Linked DNA regions of Saccharomyces cerevisiae S288C. The protein of the gene in region 1 binds, or shares a complex with, the protein of each later gene. Each region holds a gene or a part of one and is shown in the gene's direction. Other genes may lie near its edges. The genes, in order: PFS2, CFT2, YTH1 and CFT1.

Region 1 (3,919 bases):
TTACTGATGGTTATTTATTATGGAAAAAAAAACTGCACTTTGCTACTTCTTCTATTTATATTATGTAATATCTACTCCGGTTCAAATATTTTATTGATCTCTTGCTCATTCTTTTTCCTCGTTTCAGGAACTAGTATCCAACTGAATATTATCAACGCTAATAGGCAAGCAGCAAATATGTATCCTAGTTTGAAATCAATTTTGGATACAATCATTGGTGTTAAAAGTGATATTAAGAAATTGAACATCCAATTGATAAATGTGCAAATAGCCATTGATATGGCCCTCGTTCTTAGAGGGAACAATTCGGACACTAGTACAAATGTAACTGGGCCCAATGTTATTGCAAACCAAAAAATAAAACAACAAGTCACGATAATTAAAACAATATTTGAGAAGTCCGTTTCTCTTCCAAATGTCCCCACAGTAGCATATGTCATCATATAAAATAATAAATTTGTTGAACCATATAATAAACATGTCTTGTGGCCCCATTTCTCCACGTAATATATGCCTAATATCGTAGAAAGGAAGTTAACACTTGACAGTATGATTGAAGTAATATAAGGATCCTTAATCCCGACACCTTTGAAAACAGACGTTCCGTAATAAAAGAAATAATTTATTCCGGACAGCTGTTGAAATGCCATTATCATCATACCAATAATCAGTCTCAACCATAACTTTGGCTTTCCCATAATAAATTCAAATGTGTTTCTTTTAACTAAGCTTTGCTTTTTTGATTCGTTGTTAGTTTCCTCATTATTATAGTTATTTTCCAGCAAATCATCGATGAATTCAATTACCATGCTATCCGTCGCAGGGATGCCATTCATCCTCGCAAAAGAGTATTTAGCAGAGGGCACATCATTTTTGATTTTTGCCAAGTACTGTGGAGATTCAGGAACGTAAACAAGTGACATTCCAATTATAATTGCCCAAATGTATCCCAAGAACAATGGCAATTGCCAGGCTATATTTTGTGTAGGATCTTTATAACATCTTTCGCATATGAAATTTAAAATGTTTCCCATTAGTATGCCAAATGTTACAATCAATTGATACGTAGATACCATGGAGCCTCTGATTTTTAGTGGAGAATTCTCGGAGAGAAACATTGGCACCAAGACAGTGGTTACTCCCACACCGATTCCCGTTACGGCTCTTCCCAATGTCAAAAAATACCACCTTCCATAGGAGAGAATTTGAATGGTTATACCGATGCAGTACACTACTAAGGCAAACCATATACCACCTTTCCTACCAATCCAATCACCGATTTTTGACAGAGTTAAAGCCCCTACGCCACAACTGATGTTAAAAATACTGATAATTAGGCCTATTTGCAGATCAGTAAGTTTCTTAGTAGATACAAAAATTGTTTCATCGTCATGGATAATATTAGTTGTGCCAAATTTTTCTTGAAAGCTAACCATATTTGTCATTCCACCGATGGTTCCAATGTCCCATCCAAAAATAAAGCCACCAAGCGAGATTACCAAGCACAATAAAACGGGAATATGCAGACTCGCATTGTGACTAATCTTTGCTGCTTGGCCTTCTATATTTTCTTCTTTATCATCTAGATACTTAATGGTTACATTATAATCCCTTCCCCTGCCTGCATCAAGCTCATTATTGTGAAAATGAGAGATGTATCCCGAGCTATGTTGATACGGAATCTGAGCAGTCATTTCTAGCAATAATTGAAGTACTTTACTTCCTAAGAATACGTTAACAAATTCTTTGTTAGTATTTCTAATTAAAAGTGGTTAATTGTTCTGTTAAACAGTATTCAATGTTGCTATTTGAATTTGTGTCATCATTAGAATTACTGACATTTTTATTTTCTATTTTTTTTTCTATTTTTTTTCCTCTTCTTTTGAGGGCCGACGTATCGATTTGTCAAGGGAAGTATAATTAAAGAAAGCACTGATATACAGGTTGCTGGGTAGATATTAAGAAGCTCAACATAGACACGTTATGGACGGGCATAATCAGAACCAGTACCAGAATCAGAATCAAATTCAGCAGTCACAACAACCACCTCTGAAGAAATATGTGACACAGAGACGATCGGTAGACGTGAGTTCTCCGTATATTAACCTATATTACAACAGACGACATGGATTACCGAACCTAGTGGTAGAGCCAGAAACTTCATACACAATAGATATAATGCCGCCTAATGCCTACAGAGGTCGAGATCGAGTCATAAATTTGCCCAGCAAATTTACGCATTTAAGCTCGAATAAAGTGAAACATGTGATACCCGCCATCCAATGGACCCCAGAAGGCAGAAGACTTGTAGTAGCAACTTATAGCGGAGAATTTTCTCTATGGAACGCATCTTCGTTTACGTTTGAAACCCTCATGCAAGCACATGATTCGGCTGTGACTACAATGAAATATTCTCACGACAGTGATTGGATGATTAGTGGGGACGCAGATGGAATGATTAAGATATGGCAACCAAACTTTAGTATGGTTAAAGAAATTGATGCTGCACACACGGAAAGTATTAGGGATATGGCATTCAGTAGTAACGACTCGAAATTTGTTACCTGTTCAGATGATAATATCTTGAAGATTTGGAACTTCAGCAATGGCAAACAAGAAAGAGTATTATCGGGGCACCACTGGGACGTGAAAAGTTGTGATTGGCATCCCGAGATGGGGTTAATTGCCTCCGCATCTAAGGACAATTTAGTAAAACTGTGGGATCCGCGTTCCGGAAACTGCATATCATCAATTCTGAAGTTCAAACATACTGTCTTGAAGACGCGATTTCAACCCACCAAGGGAAATCTATTAATGGCGATTTCAAAAGATAAATCGTGTCGTGTGTTCGACATTAGATACAGTATGAAGGAACTAATGTGTGTAAGAGATGAAACGGATTATATGACACTAGAATGGCACCCAATAAATGAATCTATGTTCACTCTGGCGTGCTATGACGGCTCGCTAAAGCATTTTGATCTTTTACAAAATCTAAACGAACCTATTTTGACTATTCCATACGCCCATGATAAGTGTATCACCTCGTTATCATATAATCCAGTAGGACATATATTTGCCACAGCAGCTAAGGATAGAACCATAAGATTTTGGACTAGAGCGAGGCCAATTGATCCTAATGCATATGATGATCCAACTTATAACAATAAGAAGATAAATGGATGGTTTTTTGGCATCAATAACGACATCAATGCTGTGAGAGAGAAGAGTGAATTCGGTGCGGCCCCGCCACCACCAGCTACACTTGAACCACATGCGTTACCAAACATGAATGGATTCATCAACAAGAAACCGCGTCAAGAAATCCCAGGCATCGATTCAAACATCAAGAGTTCCACATTGCCAGGTTTAAGCATATAAAAGTGCGCTTTGACGAGATTTTAGGATACATAAATAAAAAGACTATATAACATATTATTTGTGATAATATCTCTCATTTCTGGGGAATGTACCCCACAGGCACCACTGTTTACTTTTGTCGCTGATATCTTCATAGAATTTTTCTTTATTCTTTGGGGTATTCTTCTCGGTGTAATATTCAATGAAAAATAAATATCGCCAGTTTCTATCATGTTCGTCCAAATGGAATGGTCTAGAGTTTATAGAACACATGTTGAGTGAATGGATTTTTAGTATGTTCAAAACATCTACCAAAGAACCAGGGTCATCTTGACGAGTAGTAAAGGTGAGTAGGTTAACCCGTAGTAATCCAGTGTCTTCTACTTCATTGTCGCCTGCGTTCTCCCTTCTCTTCAATACTAAAAATCTTGTTGTATTTCCTAGCTTATCATTTATCGAATGTTCAATGATGTACGCCTTATGCAATTGGGCAGCTGTTTCACTAGCAATGGCTAAATGCAGAATGTTGTCGCAATCGGCCGTTGATGACCGAATGCAT
Region 2 (4,987 bases), on another chromosome or scaffold:
CTCACTGCCTTCAAATTGAGAGTTTTTTGGAGTTTCATCATCATTTTCGTTCCATGTGTCTGATACAATTCCAGATATAGATTCAATCCATTTTTTATCATGACTTGACAATTGGAGGACGGGGTTCAAAGTCTTGTCCAGAATATCTACAGTGGAATTGTCTGTATTGACAAATATGTGGCACAGTTCCTCCTTTTGTTCAGCAAGCAATGTGTTGGAACTTCCAATCATAAAAAACAAAGTACGTTCTGACCGTATGTCATTCATTTGCTGCAGTGGAGTATAGGGTGAAAATAGTCCACCTTTTTCGAAAATCGGTAATGGAAAACCTAAGAATCTCAACACTGATTCTCGATTGCTTGATTTAAACGAGTCCACAACATTTAATTTCGAAATATCCTGAAACAACTGAGGACTGCCAGAATCCTGCAAATTTGACATCAAGTCCGGAATTAAGCTGATCAGACCGAACTGTAAATTACACAAAGCTTCCACGTCGTTGCCGTAAACTATAATTTTTTTTTCAAGCATAATTGCTTTCAATAAGACTAAAGCGTTTCTCTTAAAATCATGTAGTATCTTTCTCAGACATAACCCAATATAAAGACGATTTTCGGCATTTCTGACCAATGATGCAGGCGTGTAAATCGACTTCAGGTTTTCGTATAAAGACTGGATTATCTTCCTGTCCCCAAAATCATGCTGCAAGAAAAAAGCATTAGTCACAATACTAAGTTTGTCCTTGATTTGACCGAAGATTGGTTGCCTTGAGATGACTACAATTGCCTTCTGTACAGTAGATCGTGTTACATCCTTATCTTTAGTGACCAATTCATCACTCTTTATCTGTCTCGAGCAAGATATGGCAAACAAAGTCGTGTTGTCATTGATGCTATCATCACTCAGATCAGTTGCCCCGTTGGGAGGGCTCCTTTGTCTTCTTTCATCATATAGTAATGTGAAATAAGTAAATGTTTCTTCAAACGAGTGAGAACCATCAGGAAGGGCCTGGAAGGGTAAATTTGGCCATAGTTCTGCACTTTGGGTGCCCTCAGGTAAGCCATACCAGTATTCTATTTCAGGGCCTCTTTTGTGATGAAAGTCCACAAGGCAGATACCGAAGATGACTGCTTCCTCGTGTTCATCCATTATTTTGACAACAAGGTTGCAGCGAGGCAGAATGTATATGTTAGTTTGATATGGTCTTCCTGCTTGGATTCCTTTAAGGCTTCAAAATTTTCTTGAAAAGGAAACTTCGTGAATGAGCTGTAAGGATGCTTGATCGGGCCGTACATTCTTATGCAAGATCCATTATTGACTGCTCTCTGTTGGGTTAGCTTCCATATCTTCCGTTACCCGTTCGTATAATCATTACCCGACGGACAAGCATCATTTCAGCGGCTATTTTTGCTAGGCAAACCTCCTAAGCAATGATACTTCTCAAACGTTCAATGGAAGTAATAGAAGTTCAACTTACCCCATTAATAATCCACACATTAGAAGGTTGGGACAATAAAAATAAAAAGCATTAATTAGTGTAAACTTTGCTCCCAAATGCAAGTCTAAGGTAAGTTCTTTGGTTCATGGAGTTTTTGCAGTGTAATCTCACGTGCACTAGACTGAGTAAAGCGAACCTGAGTTCAAGAAATAATGATTCACCTATGACATATAGTCCAACTATACAAGCAATGAACCCTTACGGATTGAAGTCATTCAATGTTCAATGTTTGTTGTAATAAGAAATATTACTAGAAAAAGATTTTTTCTTTCGGCGGCGTTTTCCCGCTTTTCTTAAACAATCTGCAGTTTTAACATCGAATTCACGAATATTTGTTCGCTAAAGAAATAACACAGAAGATGAAATGAAGAACATACATTGAGGGCGACGAATATATATGACTTATAAATACAATTGCTGTGATGATGGATCAGGAACCACCGTTGGTTCAGTGGTACGATTTGATAACGTCACCTTGTTAATCGATCCCGGTTGGAATCCATCTAAAGTATCGTATGAGCAATGCATCAAGTACTGGGAAAAAGTGATACCGGAAATTGATGTAATAATACTATCACAACCAACAATTGAATGTTTAGGTGCTCATTCCCTTCTGTACTATAATTTTACCTCGCATTTCATATCCAGAATTCAAGTTTACGCAACTCTTCCTGTTATCAACTTAGGGAGAGTTTCCACCATAGATTCATATGCATCTGCAGGTGTTATAGGTCCATATGACACAAATAAACTCGATCTTGAAGATATTGAGATATCTTTTGATCATATTGTACCTTTGAAGTACTCGCAATTGGTAGATCTACGATCAAGATACGATGGATTGACTTTACTGGCGTACAATGCTGGTGTGTGTCCAGGTGGTTCTATTTGGTGCATTAGCACATACTCAGAGAAATTGGTTTATGCAAAGCGATGGAACCACACTAGAGATAACATACTAAATGCTGCTTCTATATTGGACGCCACTGGTAAGCCCTTATCAACTTTGATGAGGCCCTCTGCAATAATTACTACTTTGGACAGGTTTGGCTCCTCTCAACCGTTTAAAAAACGTTCAAAAATCTTTAAAGATACATTAAAGAAAGGTTTGAGTTCGGATGGGTCCGTTATAATACCGGTAGATATGAGTGGCAAATTTCTGGACCTGTTCACACAAGTTCATGAGTTATTATTTGAAAGCACAAAGATCAATGCGCACACACAAGTACCTGTACTTATTCTGTCTTACGCGAGAGGAAGAACTCTAACATATGCCAAATCAATGCTCGAGTGGCTGTCCCCTTCACTACTTAAGACATGGGAAAACAGAAATAATACTTCTCCATTTGAAATTGGATCACGGATCAAAATCATCGCACCAAACGAATTGAGTAAATATCCTGGTTCAAAGATTTGCTTCGTATCTGAGGTAGGAGCTTTGATTAATGAAGTGATAATTAAAGTTGGTAATTCTGAGAAGACAACCTTGATTTTGACCAAGCCGAGCTTTGAATGTGCGTCGTCTTTAGACAAGATACTAGAAATTGTTGAACAAGATGAAAGAAATTGGAAAACATTTCCTGAAGATGGTAAATCATTCCTCTGCGATAATTACATTTCAATAGACACCATAAAAGAAGAACCCTTGAGTAAAGAGGAAACAGAGGCGTTTAAAGTACAGCTTAAAGAAAAGAAAAGGGACAGAAATAAGAAAATTCTACTGGTGAAAAGAGAGTCTAAGAAACTGGCTAACGGCAACGCAATCATAGATGATACCAACGGAGAGAGGGCAATGAGAAATCAAGACATTTTAGTGGAAAACGTCAATGGAGTACCACCGATTGATCATATTATGGGGGGTGACGAAGATGATGATGAAGAGGAAGAAAACGACAATTTGTTGAATTTACTCAAGGATAACTCTGAGAAATCAGCAGCGAAAAAAAATACGGAAGTTCCTGTAGACATTATAATTCAACCAAGTGCCGCTTCAAAACATAAAATGTTCCCATTTAACCCCGCTAAAATCAAGAAAGATGATTATGGTACTGTTGTAGATTTTACGATGTTTTTACCTGATGATTCTGACAATGTTAATCAAAATAGCAGGAAAAGACCTCTCAAAGACGGTGCTAAAACCACGAGCCCTGTAAACGAAGAAGATAACAAAAATGAAGAAGAAGATGGTTATAATATGAGTGATCCAATTAGCAAAAGGAGCAAACACCGTGCTTCTCGTTACTCGGGATTTTCTGGAACCGGAGAAGCAGAAAATTTTGATAACCTTGACTATTTAAAGATAGACAAAACGCTCTCCAAAAGAACAATCTCAACTGTAAATGTCCAATTGAAATGCTCCGTAGTAATCCTAAATTTACAGAGTTTAGTTGATCAAAGGTCTGCATCTATTATATGGCCATCGCTAAAATCTAGAAAAATAGTTCTTTCCGCCCCCAAACAGATTCAAAATGAAGAAATTACGGCAAAACTTATCAAGAAAAATATTGAAGTGGTCAACATGCCATTAAATAAGATAGTGGAATTCAGTACAACAATAAAGACCCTGGATATCTCCATTGACTCCAACCTCGATAACCTTTTGAAATGGCAACGTATCAGTGATAGTTATACAGTTGCCACTGTCGTTGGCAGGCTGGTTAAGGAGAGCCTACCGCAAGTGAACAATCATCAAAAAACAGCGTCAAGGAGTAAACTAGTCTTGAAACCATTACACGGTTCATCTAGGAGCCATAAAACAGGTGCGTTGTCAATCGGTGACGTTAGGTTAGCACAATTAAAGAAACTTCTCACAGAGAAAAACTACATTGCAGAATTTAAAGGGGAAGGTACACTTGTCATAAATGAAAAAGTAGCAGTCCGCAAAATCAATGATGCAGAAACTATTATCGATGGTACGCCTTCCGAACTTTTTGATACTGTCAAAAAATTGGTTACGGATATGTTAGCAAAAATCTAGCCTTCTTGTATACAGCACAAATAAAAGGTTCAATTTACGTTCGTGGACTGCCCACAAAACAGTATGTGACATAAATTGCTGTGTATCTCGCACCGCTATTATCTGTATATAACATTCTAACTCACTTTTAACGATATTAGCATTATTGATTTCTTTCTTTTTCTGCTGAATTTCACCAAGCGGAAATTTTCAAAGCAGAATTTTTTCCCTAATTTGCTACAAGTGCTATTCTATCCCACAATAAAAGGAAATTGTTGATGAGTTTTAGAAGGATTAACTCTAGATACTTTGAAAATAGAAAAGGAAGCAGTATGGAAGAAAAAAAAGCAAAGGTTCCTCCAAACGTCAACCTTTCGTTATGGAGAAAGAACACGGTAGAAAGCGATGTCCATCGATTCAATTCTCTTCCATCAAAAATTAGTGGGGCCCTAACTAGGGAACAAATATACTCCTATCAAGTCATGTTTAGGATTCAAGAAATTACCATCAAACTGCGTACGAACGATTTTGTG
Region 3 (3,172 bases), on another chromosome or scaffold:
TGAATTTCCTTTTATGGGGATTCCTTTTTCTGGTTATACTACTTTTTAAGAATTGGCATTTTCAGCCTTAGATTCCTCACTTTCAAAAGAAGCATGGTCCTTTATGAGACATTGCAATTATGTAACTTTCCGAACTAAATACTGAAATTTTTAATGGAAGCTTGAAAACTATAGAAGCTCTCCGTTTTAAAGGAGAAAGAGGATGATTACAATCCTTTGACTTGAACCGATCCATATATCCTCTCACTACTATTTACTCAAGTCTCCAAACTATGTATACATGTTGATGTGATTATGTGCGTTGCTAAATAATGTAAATTCCTCAAACACGATCTGACCCTGTCAATCTCACTGCTGCACCGTATTTTTGTAATTTTGTTAGCAAACCGTCACCTTGCTTAACTAGCAGATGGTATTGAGCATTTTTGTTGTCTGGCCTGTTGGTCTCTACGATCCCATTAACTCTATCAATGACACAATTTAGTTGCTTATTTGGAATAAACTTACCCAGGTCGTTATCCAAGAACGCAACCGAAACACCAAATGCGCTTGCCATAGATTTCAGCGACAAAGTCTTATATGATTCCAACAATTGTGCGTAGACTTTTCTTCTCATTTCTCTAACAAAGAAATCTGCATGTCTATTCAAATATTTACATGGAATCAAAACATTTGCATATGTTTCCAAAAGATATGGAAAGTAACTGGCATAATCGGACGCGTAAAGGGAAATTGTTAACGACGAGATAGATTGTAGTGCGGCAGTTGTTGAGATTAAAGATAACAATTCAGGTGAATCGATGACTTTGGATTTTAGGTCTGTTCTTTCCAGAGTGAATAAACCTGTGACCGATGCATATGTGGCAATGCTTTCATAGGAAGTTAATTCAATAGAGGTGAAAGTTGCTAGAGAATCGACCAATAACTTTGCCGCTTCCTTAAAGTTTCTTACGGCCAAGCAGTGGATACCATAGTATGTTTTATATCTATTTCTTCTCTCCCAGTCACCACCTTTTTCAATCATAGAATTGACTGCTTCCAACTTCTCCTTAACATAAAGTTGGTCGTTATAAAAGAACCCCAGCCTTGCAATTGTTAGCATAACATCAATTTTGGCGCCTGTGGAAATAGCCTTCGATAATGATTTCCCTAGCGTCTTTTCAGCATTATCTTTGTCACCGATTTGTGCATAATATTCACCCAGATTAATCCAGGCTTGAGCTTGTTCTAGTTCACCTTCATCATCTTCTTCCAATTTTTGGATCTTTTCATTTAACTCTTTAATCTTACTTTCATTTTTTTTGCACAATTCATTGTATAGCTCCTGGTCAAATTTGATCCATTCGTTTAAAGAATCTGACTTTTCATCGTGTTCCAAGTCAGATTGGCCATTATTAACAAGGTATTCCTCGCAAAGATATTTATAATAAGGGGCCATTTCTTCCTCTTTAATTTTGGCTAAAACGAACTCTGCCGCTTCCTTACGCTGTTCAATACTAACCTTTGATTGTGTCAAAAGAAACGCCTTTTCAGATACCTCATAATTGGGCACCCTATTCACCGTTGGATCAACATATTCAACTTCTTGACTTTTCTCTTCCACGTCTACCATTTTGCCGTGTTTATCCAGAATTTTTGCGTGTATTAGTAACTATTGTAACAGTGGTAAAAAGCGCAGTTTACTACAACAATAGAGATTTGTGTAGTGTTAACAATTAGGTTTTTCAATGCTGCCTTGTGTATATTAATCCTCAATGGGTGGCAAACTTAACTTATTCGGAAACTTGATTGAGCATGCATTTACGCGCCGTCGGTTATGATATGGGGAAAACAAGTGTTATTACAATAGTCCACTATAACTTTTAATAATTATATAGAATGCACTGTACTTTGTTGTTCCAATCGCTTCAAAATATCACATTTCTGAATTATAAGCTAAAGATTTCTGCACTGTATCTTAAACAAGTATTCTAGGACGAATAAAATCAATAAGTTTATGTAATGAGCCTAATTCACCCCGATACAGCAAAATATCCTTTTAAATTTGAACCTTTCCTCAGGCAAGAGTATTCGTTTTCACTCGATCCTGACAGACCTATTTGTGAATTTTACAATTCTAGAGAAGGCCCTAAATCATGTCCGAGGGGACCGTTATGTCCAAAAAAGCATGTGTTACCAATATTTCAGAATAAAATTGTTTGTAGACATTGGCTTCGAGGGTTGTGCAAAAAGAATGACCAATGTGAATACTTACATGAATACAATCTTCGAAAAATGCCTGAATGTGTCTTCTTCAGCAAAAACGGGTACTGTACACAAAGTCCAGATTGTCAATATCTACACATAGATCCCGCTAGCAAGATACCAAAATGTGAAAATTACGAAATGGGATTCTGTCCTCTGGGGAGTTCTTGTCCTAGACGGCATATTAAGAAGGTTTTCTGTCAAAGATACATGACCGGATTTTGTCCTTTAGGGAAGGATGAATGTGATATGGAACATCCACAGTTCATAATCCCAGATGAAGGTAGTAAATTAAGAATTAAGAGAGACGATGAGATAAATACCAGGAAAATGGATGAAGAAAAGGAAAGGCGTTTAAACGCAATTATAAACGGTGAAGTTTGATCTATGCATGGCTGGGGGTTTTCGATTTCATAGACATGTATATTATCATATATAGTTACTATCGAGTATAGTTATGAGATTTTCTAGAGGAAGTCTATCAACCAGAATTCTGGACAATAATGCTAGTTCTGACTTCCAATCCTGGAATAAATCGTTTCTTAACATGTTTAGATTTATAGGATCTTTTTTCAAAAGAGCATTTATCAGCCATTGGGACTGCTGTATAGATGAACTGCCAATACCTGGAGAGGATCCATGCGACACTAACGCCTGAAGTTCGTTGTAAGGCTCATGCTGCGATATAAATGATAAAAGACAAAGCCCCACGGCATACAAATCCGATTCAAATGTAGGAACATGATCGGAGGAGCTATCAATTAGTTCTGGTGCACAGTATTCTACCGTGGTATTCAGATCTGTTGGTGTTTGATTAATGTGAAATGCCGACGTAAAGTCAGCAAGGTAGAAGTCAAAATCCTTACAATGGCCTCCATTAAGAACATGCATTTCTGTTATTAAAATATTTGCTGTTTTTATATCACCA
Region 4 (6,343 bases), on another chromosome or scaffold:
GTGTAATTGCATCTTGCCTTGCCTACTGTTTGCAAGGGAAAATCTGGATCTAACGTGCCATCTGGTAACTTTTTACCAACTTTTATGTCAACACATTCTAACTCATGGAAAGTGCCCTGAACATCAATAACACCTGCTGGCAATAATCCCGCCTTATTTTTCCTTGTTAAGGCTGCGTACGCACCTTGGTCTATAACAACAGCGCCTTTAGAGACAAGACCGTGTAAAATCCAAAACTCTCTATTCTTTAGATGGTGTTTATTATCATTAGCAATGAACTTCGTATGTAGTGGAACGTTAAGAGCCTTTAATTTCTCAAATTCTCTTTTTTGCAAATCCGTTAAATCGCCATTATATGCTTGTTTAACTTTATTTTCATCGTCAAGTTCTAGAGTTTGCATATACTCGACAATTCTACCTATATTCGCAGGTGTATCGCTTTTCATGATCAACGTATGAACACCGGCATTCGTTGCCAAATCTGCAGCAACCAATTTAGTTTCCATACCACCGGTCCCAACGTCAGAACCTGAACCACCAGCAGTATTCACACCGGGCAAACCCTTTGAGAGATCTGGGACAACTAAGATCGGCATGGCATCTGGGTTTGTCCTTGGATTATCAGTATACAAACAGTCAACATCTGTCAGTAAGAAAAGATAATCTGCATGGATTAAAGCAGAAGTAATTGCTGATAAAGTGTCATTGTCACCAAATTTGATTTCTCTAACAGATAGTGTGTCGTTTTCATTCACAATGGGAATAACGCCCATGTTCAACAATTCATTAATTGTGTTTTGAGCGTTCTTATATTGGGTCCAGTCCAGAATATCATTTCTGGTCAATAGAATTTGAGCGATACGTTGATCAAATTGCGAAAACAGAAGATCCCATCTCCCGATCAATCTACCCTGCCCAATAGCTGCGATGGCCTGAACTTCTGCTAAATGTTTTGGTCTTTTATTCATACGCATAGTCCTCAAACCAACAGCAATACCACCACTGGACACGATGATAACTTTGTGTCCCATTCTTCTCAATTTGACTACAGTTTCGACAATAAGCGACATGATAGCTAACTTAGGTTCTTTGGTTTTTTCATCTACTAGCGATGAAGAGCCTAATTTGATCACTATAGTATACGATTTACTCTCATTAGCATCCTTCATTTTCGCGTTCTTATGACTATATTACAGTAGCTGATAAAATGACCTAAACTATGCCTATCTTTGAAGCAACTAGACATTAATCTTGAAAGACCGTTTTGATGGATGAATAATTCATCGAGAAAGCATTAGTTCGCTGATGTAATTTTTCATTTCCTGCCATCATGCGATGTGTGGGTGCTATTTATTTTCAATTCCTTTACCAAGGTACCTGATAGTGTCATAAATAAATAAATTTAGACCAAAATGTAACCATTGATAAGTGAGAGTCTTAAATTTAACATGTTCATACTTTAACTGGTGCTCAACCGATATATTATGATTCACTGTGCCACTGACCAGCCCTATTAGTGACATTTTGTGCTTCCTCATCCCGTCGGCTCCCAATAAGACAACGTAGTAAGTGATCTTAATATAAGGTAAGTTCGAGGTGACATATTTCACAGAGCAGCGTTAAAGCAATCATATGTAAATTGAGGAAGATCACCGTCCCTTGAACACTTCACTGATTAAAACTATCAGGTACTAACCTAGATTCGCTTTTTACTCTAGCTACTGGCCCTATGAATGTATATGATGATGTGCTTGACGCTACTGTTGTGTCTCATTCATTAGCAACACATTTTACTACTTCAGATTATGAGGAGCTCTTAGTGGTGCGAACAAATATCCTTTCTGTCTACAGGCCTACTAGGGATGGTAAACTGTATTTGACTGATGAGTTTAAGTTTCATGGCTTGATCACCGATATAGGCCTCATTCCCCAAAAAGACAGTCCGTTAAGTTGCCTGCTTTTATGCACAGGCGTCGCTAAAATCTCTATTTTAAAGTTCAACACGCTAACAAACTCAATCGATACCCTAAGCCTGCATTACTACGAAGGAAAGTTCAAGGGTAAATCGTTGGTAGAGCTGGCCAAAATTTCCACCTTGAGAATGGATCCTGGAAGTTCTTGTGCCTTACTGTTCAATAATGACATTATCGCTTTTCTACCCTTCCATGTCAATAAAAATGACGACGATGAGGAGGAAGAAGATGAGGACGAGAACATAGACGATAGTGAATTAATCCATAGCATGAATCAAAAATCCCAAGGGACGAATACTTTCAATAAGAGGAAGAGAACCAAGTTAGGTGACAAGTTCACGGCTCCAAGCGTGGTATTGGTAGCGAGTGAGTTGTACGAAGGCGCCAAAAATATCATAGATATTCAGTTCTTGAAAAATTTTACTAAACCAACGATAGCGCTCTTATACCAACCAAAGCTTGTTTGGGCAGGAAACACCACCATTTCAAAACTCCCTACACAATACGTTATACTCACATTAAATATCCAGCCTGCAGAAAGTGCCACCAAGATTGAATCAACCACAATAGCATTTGTCAAGGAACTGCCTTGGGATCTACACACCATTGTACCTGTTTCGAATGGTGCTATCATTGTGGGAACCAATGAACTGGCATTTCTAGATAATACTGGCGTTTTACAATCGACAGTATTATTAAACTCATTTGCTGATAAAGAGTTACAGAAAACAAAAATTATCAACAATTCTTCATTGGAAATTATGTTCAGGGAGAAAAACACTACGTCAATTTGGATACCTTCGTCCAAGAGCAAAAACGGAGGAAGTAATAATGACGAAACACTACTACTTATGGACTTGAAATCCAATATATACTATATCCAAATGGAAGCAGAGGGCAGGTTACTGATTAAATTCGATATTTTCAAGCTACCTATAGTCAATGATCTTTTGAAGGAGAACTCCAATCCAAAATGTATAACACGTTTGAATGCCACCAATTCAAACAAAAATATGGACTTATTTATTGGGTTTGGTTCAGGAAATGCTTTGGTTCTCAGATTGAATAATTTGAAATCTACCATTGAAACAAGAGAAGCACACAATCCATCTTCAGGTACAAATAGTTTGATGGATATCAATGACGACGATGATGAGGAAATGGACGATTTATACGCCGATGAAGCTCCTGAAAATGGACTAACAACTAATGATTCCAAAGGCACTGTGGAAACTGTTCAACCTTTCGATATCGAACTGTTATCATCTCTAAGGAATGTTGGTCCCATCACATCGTTAACTGTAGGTAAGGTATCTTCCATTGATGATGTGGTAAAAGGACTACCAAATCCAAACAAAAACGAGTATTCGCTAGTTGCCACATCGGGAAATGGTTCAGGTTCTCATTTGACCGTCATACAGACTAGTGTTCAACCGGAAATTGAATTAGCATTGAAATTTATCAGTATAACACAAATCTGGAATCTGAAGATCAAAGGAAGAGATAGGTACTTAATAACTACTGATTCCACAAAATCCCGGAGTGACATATATGAAAGTGACAATAACTTCAAACTTCATAAGGGCGGCCGTTTAAGAAGAGATGCTACTACAGTTTACATTTCAATGTTTGGTGAAGAAAAAAGAATAATACAAGTCACCACCAATCACTTATATTTATATGATACACATTTTAGACGTCTCACCACAATTAAATTTGACTACGAAGTTATTCATGTTTCCGTCATGGATCCGTATATACTAGTTACCGTATCAAGGGGTGATATTAAGATATTTGAATTGGAGGAAAAGAATAAAAGAAAATTGTTAAAAGTTGATTTGCCAGAAATTTTGAATGAAATGGTTATTACATCTGGTTTGATTTTGAAAAGCAATATGTGTAATGAATTTTTGATTGGGTTGAGTAAGTCTCAAGAAGAACAGTTATTGTTTACATTTGTTACTGCAGATAACCAAATTATCTTTTTTACTAAAGACCATAATGACAGAATCTTTCAACTAAATGGTGTTGACCAATTAAATGAATCTTTATACATTAGCACTTATCAACTGGGCGATGAGATCGTCCCTGATCCATCGATTAAACAAGTAATGATAAACAAACTGGGCCATGACAATAAAGAAGAATACCTGACAATATTAACCTTCGGAGGAGAGATTTACCAATATAGAAAATTACCACAAAGACGTAGTAGATTTTATAGAAACGTTACAAGAAATGATCTAGCTATTACTGGTGCTCCTGACAATGCATACGCCAAGGGTGTTAGTTCCATCGAAAGAATCATGCATTACTTTCCCGATTACAACGGTTATTCGGTAATATTTGTAACCGGTAGCGTTCCATACATATTAATAAAAGAAGATGATTCCACACCGAAGATTTTCAAATTCGGAAACATACCATTGGTTTCAGTCACTCCCTGGAGCGAGCGTTCAGTCATGTGTGTAGATGATATTAAAAACGCCAGAGTTTACACACTAACTACTGACAATATGTACTATGGTAACAAATTACCATTGAAACAGATAAAGATCAGCAATGTGCTTGATGACTACAAAACTCTGCAAAAACTAGTCTATCATGAAAGGGCTCAATTGTTTCTTGTATCTTATTGCAAGCGGGTTCCTTACGAAGCATTAGGAGAAGATGGCGAAAAAGTAATTGGTTATGACGAGAATGTTCCTCATGCGGAAGGATTTCAAAGTGGAATTTTACTCATTAATCCAAAAAGTTGGAAGGTCATTGATAAAATCGACTTTCCAAAGAATTCTGTCGTCAATGAAATGAGATCCTCTATGATTCAAATTAATTCAAAAACTAAGAGGAAAAGAGAATACATTATAGCCGGTGTTGCCAATGCCACCACTGAAGACACTCCACCAACTGGCGCTTTCCATATTTATGATGTGATAGAAGTTGTTCCCGAACCTGGTAAACCTGATACCAATTATAAGCTCAAGGAAATTTTTCAAGAAGAGGTCAGTGGTACTGTATCTACTGTTTGTGAGGTTAGTGGAAGATTCATGATTAGTCAAAGCCAAAAAGTTCTAGTAAGAGATATCCAAGAAGATAATTCCGTCATACCAGTGGCATTTTTGGATATTCCTGTTTTCGTTACGGATTCTAAAAGCTTTGGTAATCTTTTGATAATTGGTGACGCTATGCAGGGGTTCCAATTTATTGGTTTTGACGCAGAACCATACAGGATGATTTCATTGGGCAGAAGTATGTCGAAATTTCAAACAATGTCGCTAGAGTTTTTAGTGAACGGAGGGGATATGTATTTTGCGGCAACAGATGCTGACAGAAATGTTCATGTTTTAAAATATGCGCCAGATGAACCCAACTCTCTTTCGGGTCAACGTTTAGTCCACTGCTCCAGTTTCACGTTGCATTCCACCAATAGTTGTATGATGCTTTTACCAAGAAACGAGGAATTTGGCTCTCCTCAAGTGCCATCGTTTCAAAACGTTGGTGGCCAAGTGGATGGGTCAGTCTTCAAGATAGTTCCTTTAAGTGAGGAAAAATACAGAAGACTTTATGTGATTCAACAACAAATCATCGATCGAGAATTACAGCTAGGTGGTTTAAACCCTCGCATGGAAAGATTGGCCAACGACTTTTATCAGATGGGTCACTCTATGAGGCCTATGCTTGATTTCAACGTTATACGGAGGTTCTGTGGATTAGCTATTGATAGACGGAAAAGCATTGCGCAGAAAGCAGGAAGACATGCGCATTTTGAAGCATGGAGAGATATCATAAATATTGAATTTTCAATGAGATCTTTATGCCAGGGTAAGTGAACAATACATATAAAGGATATTTAATGCTAACTAGCCCGATATATACATCTATCTATCACTAGGCATTCGAGTAGTGAATAAGAACCACTACTTGAAACACTAGATTTGTAACAATAACGCATGTATCATCGTACATTTTCGGAACTATTTACGTAACGCGGGGATGAGGAAAAAGTTACTTTTTGCACAGCAAAAAAAACAAATAAAGAACAGTTAGTGAAATAAAGCAAAAGTGCAAACGGTGCCTTTAATCAAAGACTTTGCAGGAACATAAACAAGTGCACTAAAGAAGGTCCAATTTAAATATGCCAGCTAAAAAAAGGACTAGAAAGACAGTGAAAAAAACCGTATCATTCTCCGATGACACAACATTAACAACGCACCAAAATCGTGAGAAAAAGAACGTAGATCATGATCGTCCACCTGTGTATGTGAGGAAAACCCCTCTGATGACATTTCCATACCATTTAGTAGCACTACTTTATTACTACGTTTTTGTATCTTCAAATTTCAATACGGTGAAGTTGCTAAGTTTTTTGA

Evidence for each region.
Region 2: the proteins of PFS2 (region 1) and CFT2 are in contact, whole or in part, in a cryo-EM structure (PDB 7ZGQ), measured with the Saccharomyces cerevisiae proteins. Residues at the interface, in NP_014082.1 of Saccharomyces cerevisiae: Ser186 (codon at 2,539), Ser187 (codon at 2,542), Asn188 (codon at 2,545), Ser190 (codon at 2,551), Lys191 (codon at 2,554), Ile203 (codon at 2,590), Glu212 (codon at 2,617), Trp227 (codon at 2,662), Glu230 (codon at 2,671), Met231 (codon at 2,674), Gly232 (codon at 2,677), Leu233 (codon at 2,680), Leu245 (codon at 2,716), Asp247 (codon at 2,722), Pro248 (codon at 2,725), Arg249 (codon at 2,728), Ile254 (codon at 2,743), Ser255 (codon at 2,746), Ser256 (codon at 2,749), Ile291 (codon at 2,854), Ser294 (codon at 2,863), Met295 (codon at 2,866); in NP_013216.1 of Saccharomyces cerevisiae: Asp547 (codon at 3,534), Asp548 (codon at 3,537), Tyr549 (codon at 3,540), Gly550 (codon at 3,543), Thr551 (codon at 3,546), Val552 (codon at 3,549), Val553 (codon at 3,552), Phe555 (codon at 3,558), Met557 (codon at 3,564), Phe558 (codon at 3,567), Leu559 (codon at 3,570), Pro560 (codon at 3,573), Asp561 (codon at 3,576).
Region 3: the proteins of PFS2 (region 1) and YTH1 are in contact, whole or in part, in a cryo-EM structure (PDB 6EOJ), measured with the Saccharomyces cerevisiae proteins. Residues at the interface, in NP_014082.1 of Saccharomyces cerevisiae: Arg106 (codon at 2,299), Arg107 (codon at 2,302), Leu119 (codon at 2,338), Glu128 (codon at 2,365), Thr129 (codon at 2,368), Met131 (codon at 2,374), Gln163 (codon at 2,470), Pro164 (codon at 2,473), Asn165 (codon at 2,476), Phe166 (codon at 2,479), Ser167 (codon at 2,482); in NP_015432.1 of Saccharomyces cerevisiae: His69 (codon at 2,206), Arg72 (codon at 2,215), Gly73 (codon at 2,218), Leu74 (codon at 2,221), Cys75 (codon at 2,224), Lys76 (codon at 2,227), Asn78 (codon at 2,233).
Region 4: the proteins of PFS2 (region 1) and CFT1 are in contact, whole or in part, in a cryo-EM structure (PDB 6EOJ), measured with the Saccharomyces cerevisiae proteins. Residues at the interface, in NP_014082.1 of Saccharomyces cerevisiae: Gln29 (codon at 2,068), Arg31 (codon at 2,074), Ser32 (codon at 2,077), Val33 (codon at 2,080), Asp34 (codon at 2,083), Val35 (codon at 2,086), Ser36 (codon at 2,089), Ser37 (codon at 2,092), Pro38 (codon at 2,095), Tyr39 (codon at 2,098), Ile40 (codon at 2,101), Asn41 (codon at 2,104), Leu42 (codon at 2,107), Tyr43 (codon at 2,110), Tyr44 (codon at 2,113), Asn45 (codon at 2,116), Arg46 (codon at 2,119), Arg47 (codon at 2,122), His48 (codon at 2,125), Gly49 (codon at 2,128), Leu50 (codon at 2,131), Pro51 (codon at 2,134), Asn52 (codon at 2,137), Leu53 (codon at 2,140), Val54 (codon at 2,143), Val55 (codon at 2,146), Glu56 (codon at 2,149), Pro57 (codon at 2,152), Glu58 (codon at 2,155), Thr59 (codon at 2,158); in NP_010587.1 of Saccharomyces cerevisiae: Lys110 (codon at 2,057), Gly111 (codon at 2,060), Lys112 (codon at 2,063), Ser113 (codon at 2,066), Leu114 (codon at 2,069), Val115 (codon at 2,072), Glu116 (codon at 2,075), Lys211 (codon at 2,360), Asn212 (codon at 2,363), Ile213 (codon at 2,366), Ile214 (codon at 2,369), Pro233 (codon at 2,426), Lys234 (codon at 2,429), Leu235 (codon at 2,432), Val236 (codon at 2,435), Trp237 (codon at 2,438), Ala238 (codon at 2,441), Gly239 (codon at 2,444), Asn240 (codon at 2,447), Thr242 (codon at 2,453), Ile243 (codon at 2,456), Trp279 (codon at 2,564), His282 (codon at 2,573), Thr296 (codon at 2,615), Asn297 (codon at 2,618), Asn315 (codon at 2,672), Phe317 (codon at 2,678), Met336 (codon at 2,735), Arg338 (codon at 2,741), Glu339 (codon at 2,744).

Annotation. Positions count from the first base shown.
Region 1 is NC_001146.8:38,636-42,554, forward strand, and holds PFS2 (cleavage polyadenylation factor subunit PFS2), read left to right. Parts: upstream 1-1,983; coding exon 1,984-3,381; downstream 3,382-3,919. Other genes in the region: HXT14 (Hxt14p), read right to left, coding at 72-1,694; prephenate dehydratase PHA2, read right to left, coding at 3,436-3,919. UniProt on the Saccharomyces cerevisiae protein: Integral and essential component of the cleavage and polyadenylation factor (CPF) complex, which plays a key role in polyadenylation-dependent pre-mRNA 3'-end formation and cooperates with cleavage factors including the CFIA complex and NAB4/CFIB.
Region 2 is NC_001144.5:376,090-381,076, forward strand, and holds CFT2 (cleavage polyadenylation factor subunit CFT2), read left to right. Parts: upstream 1-1,895; coding exon 1,896-4,475; downstream 4,476-4,987. Other genes in the region: AVL9 (Avl9p), read right to left, coding at 1-1,149; mRNA splicing protein MSL5, read left to right, coding at 4,733-4,987. UniProt on the Saccharomyces cerevisiae protein: RNA-binding component of the cleavage and polyadenylation factor (CPF) complex, which plays a key role in polyadenylation-dependent pre-mRNA 3'-end formation and cooperates with cleavage factors including the CFIA complex and NAB4/CFIB.
Region 3 is NC_001148.4:740,894-744,065, reverse strand, and holds YTH1 (cleavage polyadenylation factor RNA-binding subunit YTH1), read left to right. Parts: upstream 1-2,001; coding exon 2,002-2,628; downstream 2,629-3,172. Other genes in the region: proteasome regulatory particle lid subunit RPN7, read right to left, coding at 323-1,612; putative protein kinase ISR1, read right to left, coding at 2,674-3,172. UniProt on the Saccharomyces cerevisiae protein: RNA-binding component of the cleavage and polyadenylation factor (CPF) complex, which plays a key role in polyadenylation-dependent pre-mRNA 3'-end formation and cooperates with cleavage factors including the CFIA complex and NAB4/CFIB.
Region 4 is NC_001136.10:1,061,623-1,067,965, forward strand, and holds CFT1 (cleavage/polyadenylation factor CFT1), read left to right. Parts: upstream 1-1,729; coding exon 1,730-5,803; downstream 5,804-6,343. Other genes in the region: PRO1 (glutamate 5-kinase), read right to left, coding at 1-1,169; mannose-ethanolamine phosphotransferase GPI11, read left to right, coding at 6,109-6,343. UniProt on the Saccharomyces cerevisiae protein: RNA-binding component of the cleavage and polyadenylation factor (CPF) complex, which plays a key role in polyadenylation-dependent pre-mRNA 3'-end formation and cooperates with cleavage factors including the CFIA complex and NAB4/CFIB.